Bombyx mori: one gene and its partners. The protein of the gene in region 3 binds, or shares a complex with, the protein of the main gene of each other region. Links are inferred from orthologs where the notes say so. Each region holds a gene or a part of one and is shown on either strand. Other genes may lie near its edges. The genes, in order: DNA polymerase epsilon subunit 3, chromatin accessibility complex 16kD protein and bromodomain adjacent to zinc finger domain protein 1A.

Region 1 (2,910 bases), on a different chromosome or scaffold from region 3:
CAGTGGAACTACTTTGAGACTTCCTATAAACACTTATTTTGAATCTTATCCTATGATGTTATATTGTATTTGAGTCGTCTATTATCAAAGGTGGCAATCTGTGCATTTGGACAAAAAAATGTTATTGATATGTCAATACAGATTGATTTGAATATAATCGTCTCCTTCAAAGAATACGGTTCAAAACCTGCATTAAATAAAGGTTAATACTTAACCTGTTATTTATCTAAGATGTCGTTCAGAAGAGTTTTGTGACTGCCAACAGAATACAAAGTCAATAATTCGTTTTTCTGATTTACCAATAATTGTCCAAAAGTCACATTGCCGGCTTTGATAATAGTCGACTCATTTGATTCATATTTCGTATCATTTAATTCAAATTGGTTGTCATGTCCCACTCTTGACAAAAGCCAAAACAAACTACCAAGTTTCGAGAACTACCACCATAGATAAGCAGGGCATTGAATATTGTATGATATATTGAATGAAAATAATTGGAGGTTTTCACACAAACATAACCATTATTTTAATTTCTCTTGAGACTATTCTAGAATACTGAAAAATAATAGAAAAGCCAGATTCTAACAAAATTTTCTTATAATTACAAGTTTTAAAAGGATGTGTGACCAGATCTAGTAATAATTGTAACATTTACATAACATACATACATACATAACCTAACATTAAGTAATTTTTATGGCAGTAAAAATTAAGTTTAGAAAAATATCAGTAATAAATCAAATAAAATACTTTTAATTTTAGCAAATTGCAAAAACAAATTTTGAGAAGTTCTAAGTTTTAATTGTAGTTAATTTACTGATGTAAAAGTAAGTGGACACAATTCATTTTGGGATGCTTTTGAAGTTTACTTGTTTTTAATAAAAGTTTATTTAATTTTAAAACACTTCATACATTATTACCAACTGATTAATTATTGCGAGGTAACTGTTGTAAATGTTCATGGGAAACTTGTTTCATTTAAACATTTATCACTTTTGTAACACAGGCATGGGTTCTTTGAACTTATTTCATATAGTTTTTCAGCACAGTTTCTGAATATACACCACTAAGCGCCACTATACATTTTAAACTCAAGTCGCAGTAGTATTCAATCGTCTTCTATAATCTCAGCGTCTTCTTGTTCATCTTTTTTCTTCATAGAAGCGGATTTTCGTGCCGAAGCCATGGTCTTGTAATGTTCCAGAGCTTCTCCTAAAGGTTCCACAAATCTATCAAATTCGATGTCTTTCATAGCATCTATCACGTCCTGCCCAGTGAGAGCCTTCCTTTTTTTGTTCTTAACAATATTTGTAGCTGCTGAAGTCACATAAAGTACAAAAACTGAAGCCGCCTTAGCGAGGCCAGTTCGCGCCTCTTTTGATATCGATACGCCACTGGGAAGAGCTTCTTTTACGATTCTAGTTACAACTGTGAGTGGTAAATTCAAATCTTCGAGTTTTTCAGCCATTTTTGTTTATAACGTTCCTATTTATAAAATCTGGAATTAAATGAAAACATTAATTTAACCGCCAGAAGCACTAATGACATTTCTTGACATTGATTGGAGCATACAGTCACAGTTATAGATTATACACAGTTACGAATGTTACGATAGTACTCTCTATGTGTATTATCTATGGATACAAGGGTTAGTAACTGCCGCCTGTCGCCGTGCTACAAAAAGTCTCAAAAATAGGTACTCGGAATACAATGCCTTTTTTTCAAAGTTTTCATAGGTATCGTGGCTTAAACTATATTATTATGCTGTATGAGATACCCGGTGAAGTTACATAAAACGATGGGACAATACCAGCAGTTAGATCCTGCAGTGTAGTAGCCTACCGAATTCACAATTAGTATTTAGCGTTATCACGTGTTTATTTGTTGTTTATTCAACGTTTCTATTATTCTTCAAAATTAAAACCTCAAATCTTATTCACGTTACATGCTATAAAAACATTGCGATCTGTTTTCCAAAAATATTACAAAAATATAGGATTGCGTGATAATTTTAATTCACTGGTGGCAAGAAAGCACGCATTGATGATGACGCATAATGTCCATTTAACGAATGCAGACCAGAAGAGGGCTTGTAGTGCAGCAAAGATCAAGACAATATGAGATAAACTTAAACTGTATGCTTTGGTGGGAAATCGACTTTATCGTCTAATTAACTCAAAATATTTAGCAGTCACCATTATCCAAAATAATTCACGGTCAAAAAATAAATTACTCAAAAGTATGTAAAAGTTTATTTTCGCTATTATTTTTTGGTTAAATTATTATAATCTGATAATCTGTTATTTTAATCAGCCATTTAATTCGCTTGAAACCTTGTTGATTGTTGATAAAAATAAAAAGCAATGGTTCGAACACTCGTGTTGTTTGTAGAATTATTTGATTTGCACGATGTCGATATAATGAGAAACGAACGAAATTACTTGCTCATTTCTGCCACAAAGCATTATTGCATTCCGGTTTGAAGGGAGGAACAGCAATAAAAATTTCATCTTTAAAAAATAACATGGCCTTCAGTTCACAAAAGCTTCGCGTTCGTTATCATGTTACCCGTAAACAGCTGATTTACGAGTGACCAGTGTGCTTAAAAACATTATTTAGAAAATATAATAAAATATATCAGTAGGCTTACCATAGATTTACTAGGCATACATTGACTACCATGAAAGCGTATATTAGCGTATCAAAGGACACGTTGTCCGTGTTAGTTCGTTTTTAAAACATAATAGGTATCTACTTTTTAGATAGAAATTGACAACTGAATCAACTAAACAGGTCAATGACCTAGTTTTACAGAAATCGATGAAAAATTAAAAATGAATGACGTGAATACATATAAAAGGGAAGGTCAATTGTTGAATTTACTAAGTACGTAATAAAATTGAAATAAAA
Region 2 (4,347 bases), on a different chromosome or scaffold from region 3:
AAAACTATGCCTTATTTTTTCACGTGTTTTAGTTTATGTATCAACATTTCTTTCACCCTGGCATTGTTTTACAAAAAAAAAAAATACTTATTTGATAACACCCCAAAACTGAGGTGAATGAAGTTAGCCCCTCAAAAATTTCTTTTTTTCCTATTTTATACTTATTTTCTATTAATTCGTTTGTTCATCATTTGTTCATGATTGTTCACTGTTAATAATTGTTTGTTCTGCAGTTATTTATTTAAAAAAAATATTTAAAAATATACCTACAAGTTAGCCCCTCTAATGCAATTTTTAATATTTTTTCATCCTTAATAACTCGTAAATATTCATTTTCGATTGTTCTTATATAAAACACGTTTGTTCTCTTTCGAAATTACTCGTTTTTTGTTTAATTTACTATTTTTATTAGTTGAATAAATGTATGCAAAATATGTGTACTGCGCATGCGTCAACTATAATGCCTAAACTTTCTACGCGGTTTTAATCGTGAAAAAAAAAACAAATATAAATCCTGAAGGAGCAATTAATTGGTATACAGTTTAATTAAAAAAATTAAAAAATAAATAAATGAAATAATGTGCATTGGCGTTAAGTTAGAGCAAATACATTTTTTCCATCCTCCTACTTATCGTTATGAAGGTATAAAAAAGATAGGGAGTTCACATAGGTAATATAAACAAATAAGTAAATATGTTCATTATTTATCTTTCAAGAGATAATATAGGTATACATTATAATAACTTTTTTACACAGTCGAAATTATATTCCTAACATTAGTAAAATAACATTTTAATACGATAGGTAAGAGGATGGAAAAAATGTATTTGGTCTAACTTAACGCCAATGCACATTATTTCATTTATTTAATTTTTAATTTTTTTAATTAAACTGTATACCAATTAATTGCTCCTTCAGGATTTATATTTGTTTTCTTTTTCACCATTAAAACCACGTAGAAAGTTTAGGCATTATAGTTGACGCATGCGCAGTACACATATTTTGCATACATTTATTCAACTAATAAAAATAGTAAATTAAACAAAAAACGAGTAATTTCGAAAGATAACAAACGTGTTTTATATAAGAACAATCGAAAATAAATATTTACGAGTCATTAAGGATGAAAAAATATTAAAAATTGCATTAGAGGGGCTAACTTGTAGGTATATTTTTAAATATTTTTTTTAAATAAATAACTGCAGAACAAACAATTATTAACAGTGAACAATCATGAACAAATGATGAACAAACGAATTAATAGAAAATAAGTAGAAAATAGGAAAAAAAAATTTTTTTGAGGGGCTAACTTCATTCATCTCCAAAACTGAGTATGGCACAGTTTTTAAATTCGCCAATAGGCAAAGGGCTTAGCCCATACAGCCTTATAGTAAACCTATATGCTGCCAAACGAAAGAGTTGTCTGTGACTTGAACAACAAATTAAAAAAAATAGCTAATGGTTATAATTCACAGACTTTTTTAGTTTATTTTTGTTCAATTCAATTTTTATATATTGTAATAATAATTATTACTTTATATAATTATTTTTAGATATTAATGATTCCATTAGTAAAAATCTCAATGGCCTACCATTACTCTATTCTTATTAAATAATATGATCAGAGAGTTTTGGCGGCAACCCGAGTGAAGCGTCACTTGAAGTTTTATTTTAATGTTTTTTAATAGTTTATTGTGATGTATAATATATAAATTGGGTGTTGTTTTGTGTATTAGACGTCAATAATCGTTGTTCACGATTATTGAGGAATTGGAATAAAACTGTGGCTAACATAGCAGTGACTGTTTTTTTTTTCAAGATAAAAGATCTGCGGAAATTCACGCTCACTCACTTTGGACCCAACAAATCTTACAGAAAATTAAAATATTTAATGAGCAATGTTCCGCATGCCTTTCCGATTTACAAATGAAACAAAACAAAGTTTTTGATTTTGACGTTTAGTTTTGACTTCAGTTTAAAATGCTTAGAGATTCGCGGTCTGTTTTAAATAATCTATTTGAAATGAATTTTTAATAGTTCACCTATAAAATATTTCTAGTTAGTTTGTATTTCCTTTCGACTAAAACGATGGCTACCCCAAAAAGTGAAAAAGATCTGCATTTGCCCCTGTCCAGGGTTAAAACAATAATGAAAAGCTCACCGGACGTAGAAGCAGTTGGTCCAGAACCACTATATTTAGTCACTAAAGTTACAGTGAGTTTTCTAGAGGTTAACCTAAGTTAAACTAACCTAAACTTCCCAAGGCGATTTTTTTTTATTTATTACTTCGACGGTTGAACGTGCTCACGACCCACCTGGTGTTAAGTAGTTACTGGAGCCTATAGACCTCATCACTGTGTGAATGTCTCTACCCAACATGAGACATGAGGTTTCAATTGTATAGTGTAACAGCTGCCTCGCCCCTCAAACCGAAAATCATTACTGCTTCGCAGCCGAAATACCGATGTGCGCCCTACCGTAATGACTAGTTTTATGCAATTTTTTAAAATTTTATGAGTTTGATTTTTATTACACCAATTACTCCAATGATTGATGATATTCTATTTTGAATAGTCTGGACAGTATTTTATAGTACAACTGAGACTTAGATCTTATTTCGTAGGTTCTTAGAGTGGTGACAATCACATTGTGATAGCTATGGACTCCGATAAAGATTATAATCACACTAATTTCCAGGAATTGTTTGTAATGGATCTAGCAAAGAGGGCACACAAAAACAGTAATGCCAACTTCCTAGAATACAAACATATTGCTGATATTGTTCAAGAGGATGACACTTTAGACTTTCTCAGAGAGATCATGCCTCGAAAGATCACTGTGCGTCAATTCAAAGAGATGATGGCCAAGAAAGCTGCCAAGAACGGTGATGATTCAAGTGAAGACTCCAGTGAAGACAGCAGTGAAGACTCATCCAGTAACAATGAACAAGAGTGATAAGCTGTAAGTTAGAATAATTTAATTTACTAAATTTTTACTAAATTTTAATAAATAATTTAATTTAAGGACTAATACACTAATTTAGTTTTAAAATGCGTGTAGTCATAAATACTTTTCTCAAATATATTTAAGAAAAAAATTACATGTAAAGATCCTAAAAAAGTAAATAACTACACTGGAATTACTTGATGTAGAAGTCTAACTCATCAACCCTGGCAGTGATTTTTCGAATGTTACAGACTAAATCTTATTTATTTATTTTAAAACATAACAACATTCCCAATACACCAATAGTGGCCTGTTAGTGGATGCACAATGTTTTAAATAATTTAGCAAACTAGATGATCGTGATTTTAATCTTCAAATGTTATAATTTCAGGAACTACAAACACTAAGGGACAAATTCACAGACTGAAGAAAAGTGAAGAATTTAAACAGAAACAAATGTTGAGTGTCTCCTAATCTGTGCCAATAAGCCTATTCTGGCGTTGGGTTATTTTTATTAACTTAATTTTACAAATTGGTTTCTTTTCTTTCATGAAATGTAATAACATTTACAAATATTGTGCTCGTCAAGTATCATTTAATTGTGTCATTAAATTGATGATTGTGTCATTAAATGATAGAATTCTGCCTTTGCATGTTGTTTGTTAATCAAAATGTTATGCAATTAAAATTTGTATTACTTATGATTACTTTAAGTTTTTCAAATATTAAAGTGAAATAAATAACAGAAAGTTTATAAATTATATTGCTAAAACTTTGATCTGGTGTAATCTAAAAGTAATTGTCATTTCATGGACCATCTCAAACTATTTGTTGTGTGACACTTTTATCAAATAATTTCAACTATAATTAAGAGCACTGAAGTATGTTTCTCACAATATCTAAGGCATACAGGAGTATAATTGAGGCCGTCAACGCAAAAGTGGCCTAACCCACAATTTTTCATAATCATGTTTATAATTATGTATATTGCAATCTATTTAAAATATAATAAATTTTGATGCAAAACTGGCATATTCATAGTTTCACCCATAGGTAATAGATGACTGTAAACATTATTTTTGCCCCTATTGTTTTTTGCGTACTCAAATTTAAACTCGTGAAAATTTAAATATCTCTGCTCCATAATAACTATGGTAAGCTTTGGCCACTTTTGCGCTGACGGCCTCAATTGTCACATGAAGTTGGAGTTTCAACCATACAAGTGATTGAAACTCCAACTTCATGTGACAATTGAGGCCATCTGGACTCATAATTGCATTTGATCTGTGCTTAGTGCGAGTTTTGTAGATGTAGATTAAATATAGAATGAATTGTAAACATTTCATGTGAGTGGGATTTTTATAACTACTATTTTTTTTATTATTTTTGTTTTTGTTTTTT
Region 3 (3,661 bases):
TTCAAACGCCGCAGGCCTTCTATCTGTCTGCTACCGTATGACGTCACAATAATCAAACTGATAGTTTTCTGTCATACAGCCAAGCGGTTAATTAATTTTATGAAAAATGCACGTTCCGTTGAAGCTATATAGCTAGTACGCAGATTTGTACATGGATGCACCCGGAATGTTGACGCTCTATCCTGATGCACTAAGATGATGTAGCACGGGATCACGCGAGGTCCCCCCCCCCGTGGCATGTCTCCCGTTCACCGTCATTGGTGCATTGTTCTTTCATTCATAAATCCTGTTCTTATTCTATTGCTTTTCTTTGGTTTACAACGTTCTTCGCAAAATGTTTACTTTATGCTTGGCAACCCTGTCGCGTAGGCCTTCATTGCGACATGTATCTTTACAATAAATCTCCCGTTGAACTATAGGAACTGTATGCTCGTCGCTGATAGTAGTGGCAATGCAAGAAGCCGACTGCCATCTTGAAATACACAGTAAAAGATCCTTATTCGCGCTTCCTTCGGTAGCGTTTTCACTATGCGCGGATTAAAAAAATGCGACCAAATTCCTATATTCGCGACTAAAGATTTCCTTATTCGCGGATCTAATTGATACATAGGTACGTATGCGTTGATAGACATGATTCCAATATAATAATATACTGACTACTTATCTTTTGAAAAAGCGTCGTCAAATGGATTAATAAAAAAGTAAAATGGACCTTATTACAACTTTGCCTAAAGTATATTTTTAAATGCGGACACGTGAGACGGAACGTTATGGATAAGAGCCGCTTTGCGTGTTTTATTGTTTGATATTTCCATTCGTTACAAAAATTGTGATAGACCATTCCGTATTCACGGTTTCTGTATTAGCGGTATATTTACGGAACATATAGCCCGCGAGTAAAGAGCTTTTACTGTAAAGAAAAGTCACATATCTTCGACATGACCCATATGTTCTTTCGTAAGCTCGCCTTGTGCATTCCCTGTTTTGTGACTTGAATGTTACTTTGATTCATGGCGAACAACCGTTAATCAGATTGCTTTTAATTTTAAACTAAACTATTGACATTTTCATTAGTACCCAATGACAACTCATATTTTACTGTTTATGTTTCTATAAAACACATAAAACTTCTTGTTTTAAGGGTGGGCTGTCCCATCTGTCCACATCGTTCATTGAGACCACTATTGAGATATTGACCTCATGTCTCAAAGTCGCATTGTTGTTGCGACTTCTATGCGCTTCTGTGAGCACTGACTACTTCGTAATTACCCATGTAGGTAATAGAAAATCTTCATTTCCGTCCCAAATAAAAATGCTTTATAGTAATAACAATGTCAGTAGCATGACTGCATGTGATAACGATAGATGTAGAAATCAAACTTCGTACACGCAAATGGATTATTAATTCATTTCCTTAATCACGATTTCCGAACTGATTCTTCTGTTTGTAACCATCAAACCATTGCTCATCTAAATAATTAGATTGCTTGTTAGAAATAGGACTTACCTTTCCTCTTTGTCAATTTGTAGAAATTAAGTTTGCTTTTTCCTAATATTGTTCCGTGATCTCATATTATTTACCTGCGCCGCCTAGTGAGTAGATATCTGACGTACAAACTAATATTTGAGAACAATAAATAGAAAGTTTATAAGGAAGATACAATTCTATAAAAAGCAATCAAGACTAGAAAGCTATTTAATTTGTGTTCTGCTTTATAGTGATTACTACTCACATGTAACAAATTACATTATTTTACTACAAAATTGGGACAAAAAAATGTGGAAGAGTAATTTTAAATGTTTTTCAATTTTTGTTTAACAAAGATTGTAGGCAATATCCATAGACTAAATATTGCTTCAAAAACATTATGCTGTGTGCCATCTATGAATTTGTTATATGATAAAAAAGTAAAAAAGATTATCAACAAGCAAGGTTAAAAAATTTAGTAACTTTTATTAAATAAATAAATATTGTACATATATTAAATTTTAATTGCTTTTTCATGTGTAGAGTCAGAAGACAGCGATTACAACACGACTCTGGTTAAACTGAAAAAGAGGAAACAGCGCCACAGCAACGACGCGGTGCCCCTGCAGAACGGGACCACCCCTCCTTCGGGGAAGAAACGCGGCAGGAAGTGAGTATTCATCACGCCCAGACCCTCGGGCGCTCGGTTTAAAGGTCGGCAGAGAGCTTTGACAAAACTCCTCATTCAGGGGCCCTTAGATGTTCTTGTTTAGGTACCTATAGTGCACAGACACAAAAGTGCCAAGCCCCCTTGTGTCCGTGAGATTGTCTGTCTGATTGATTGACTTGGATATTTTCTCACTCATGAAAGACATGATAATACTATGGTTGAATAATTTTGTTTTTAATGACAAATGACATTTTTTCTGCTTAAGGACAAGTAAATTAAGTAATTTACTTGTCCTTAAGCAGAAAAAATGTAAATGTAGGGTAAGTACCCTCTTTTTGGTTTTGGACTAGATAGCAGTATATCCCCCATAGTGCTTCTGTGTAAACAAACAATATTAATCTGCTAAATCAATCTTACCACACGTGTCAATTATTACACGTATATTTATTATAGATGAGACTTATTGTGTAAGCGAATTGACATTTCGGCGACTCTCACTGGTCATTGGTATCGGAGCTCTGACGAACTGTATTTGTTCACTTCCAGACCAAAACACGAGAAACTGAACATGAGCAACGGGAAAGATAGGAGATCGAAAAATTCCCTCACAAACGGAGTTCATGGTGAGTGCGGGGGGCGGCGCGGAACGCGGGGTGGTGGAGCCCCCGACACGACTGGACTGTTCTAAGTCGGTGGTTCACAGTTTGCTAAGTTGAATCAGGATACTAGTGTAAACACGTATCATTAATATGCTTCCTTAAAATTTATTTAAAAAACTTTTCTTTAACATCCCACATAAACTTTGAACCTTCTAATTTGGCATAACAAGAGTCGAGTTGTGTAACGTTTATCGGATCAGAACCAGGTTTATGCAACATCATCTTTCTTACTTGAACATGGTGGTGGAGCCGTTCGCGTCTTCATGACCCCTTACGAGAGTCCCCGTTCTGTCCGCAGAGGAGCGTGCGGCGCGCGGGCCTGACGCCGTGCAGCAGCTGCTGCGTGACGTCATCAAGCACAAGGACAGCTGGCCCTTCTACGAGCCCGTCTCCATTGAGGATGTGAGTCAAGCGCCAAGGCACCATAATCTCTTTTCTGGCCGGAGTTTTAACCTTAAGGTTCCCGCGCACGGGGGGCGCGCCACGTGTAGGACTCGGTGACCGAGGAAGCTAACTCCCCTGCGCTCGCCCGGTCTCCGTCGTGCTAGAGGGGACAAATAAAATAAAAAATATATTATTATCTTCTATTTATCGCAAATAATTTAATTTCAAATTGGGGAATGGATAAGTATTTCACAGCGTCATAGTATAGTGACTTCGCTGGATACGCGCGTCTTATCCTTTAGGCCACGGTGAAATTGTATTGTGCGGTTATAGTTACTTAGATTCTTTATTAATTAGATTAGATTTACTTATTATTCTATTACCTATTATTACTTAGATTAGATTTACCTATTATTCTATTACTTATTATTACTTAGATTAGATTATTTCTAAACTGTTTCGAAGTAACCATTTACTTAG

What was found.
Region 1: bromodomain adjacent to zinc finger domain protein 1A (region 3) and DNA polymerase epsilon subunit 3 share a complex: the UniProt entries of both Homo sapiens proteins name them as parts of the CHRAC ISWI chromatin remodeling complex. The link is inferred for Bombyx mori from reciprocal best matches to the Homo sapiens genes BAZ1A and POLE3.
Region 2: bromodomain adjacent to zinc finger domain protein 1A (region 3) and chromatin accessibility complex 16kD protein share a complex: the UniProt entries of both Homo sapiens proteins name them as parts of the CHRAC ISWI chromatin remodeling complex. The link is inferred for Bombyx mori from reciprocal best matches to the Homo sapiens genes BAZ1A and CHRAC1.

The regions. Positions count from the first base shown.
Region 1 is NC_085130.1:7,455,845-7,458,754, forward strand, and holds DNA polymerase epsilon subunit 3, read right to left. Parts: upstream 1,594-2,910; 5' UTR 1,469-1,593; coding exon 1,109-1,468; 3' UTR 580-1,108; downstream 1-579. UniProt on the Homo sapiens protein: Accessory component of the DNA polymerase epsilon complex. Participates in DNA repair and in chromosomal DNA replication.
Region 2 is NC_085111.1:17,749,468-17,753,814, reverse strand, and holds the start of chromatin accessibility complex 16kD protein, read left to right. Parts: upstream 1-1,500; 5' UTR 1,501-2,088; coding exon 2,089-2,214; intron 2,215-2,697; coding exon 2,698-2,955; 3' UTR 2,956-2,961; intron 2,962-3,337; 3' UTR 3,338-4,347. UniProt on the Homo sapiens protein: Forms a complex with DNA polymerase epsilon subunit POLE3 and binds naked DNA, which is then incorporated into chromatin, aided by the nucleosome remodeling activity of ISWI/SNF2H and ACF1.
Region 3 is NC_085131.1:1,114,177-1,117,837, forward strand, and holds part of bromodomain adjacent to zinc finger domain protein 1A, read left to right. Parts: intron 1-2,011; coding exon 2,012-2,138; intron 2,139-2,684; coding exon 2,685-2,761; intron 2,762-3,095; coding exon 3,096-3,199; intron 3,200-3,661. UniProt on the Homo sapiens protein: Regulatory subunit of the ATP-dependent ACF-1 and ACF-5 ISWI chromatin remodeling complexes, which form ordered nucleosome arrays on chromatin and slide edge- and center-positioned histone octamers away from their original location on the DNA template to facilitate access to DNA during DNA-templated processes such as DNA replication, transcription, and repair.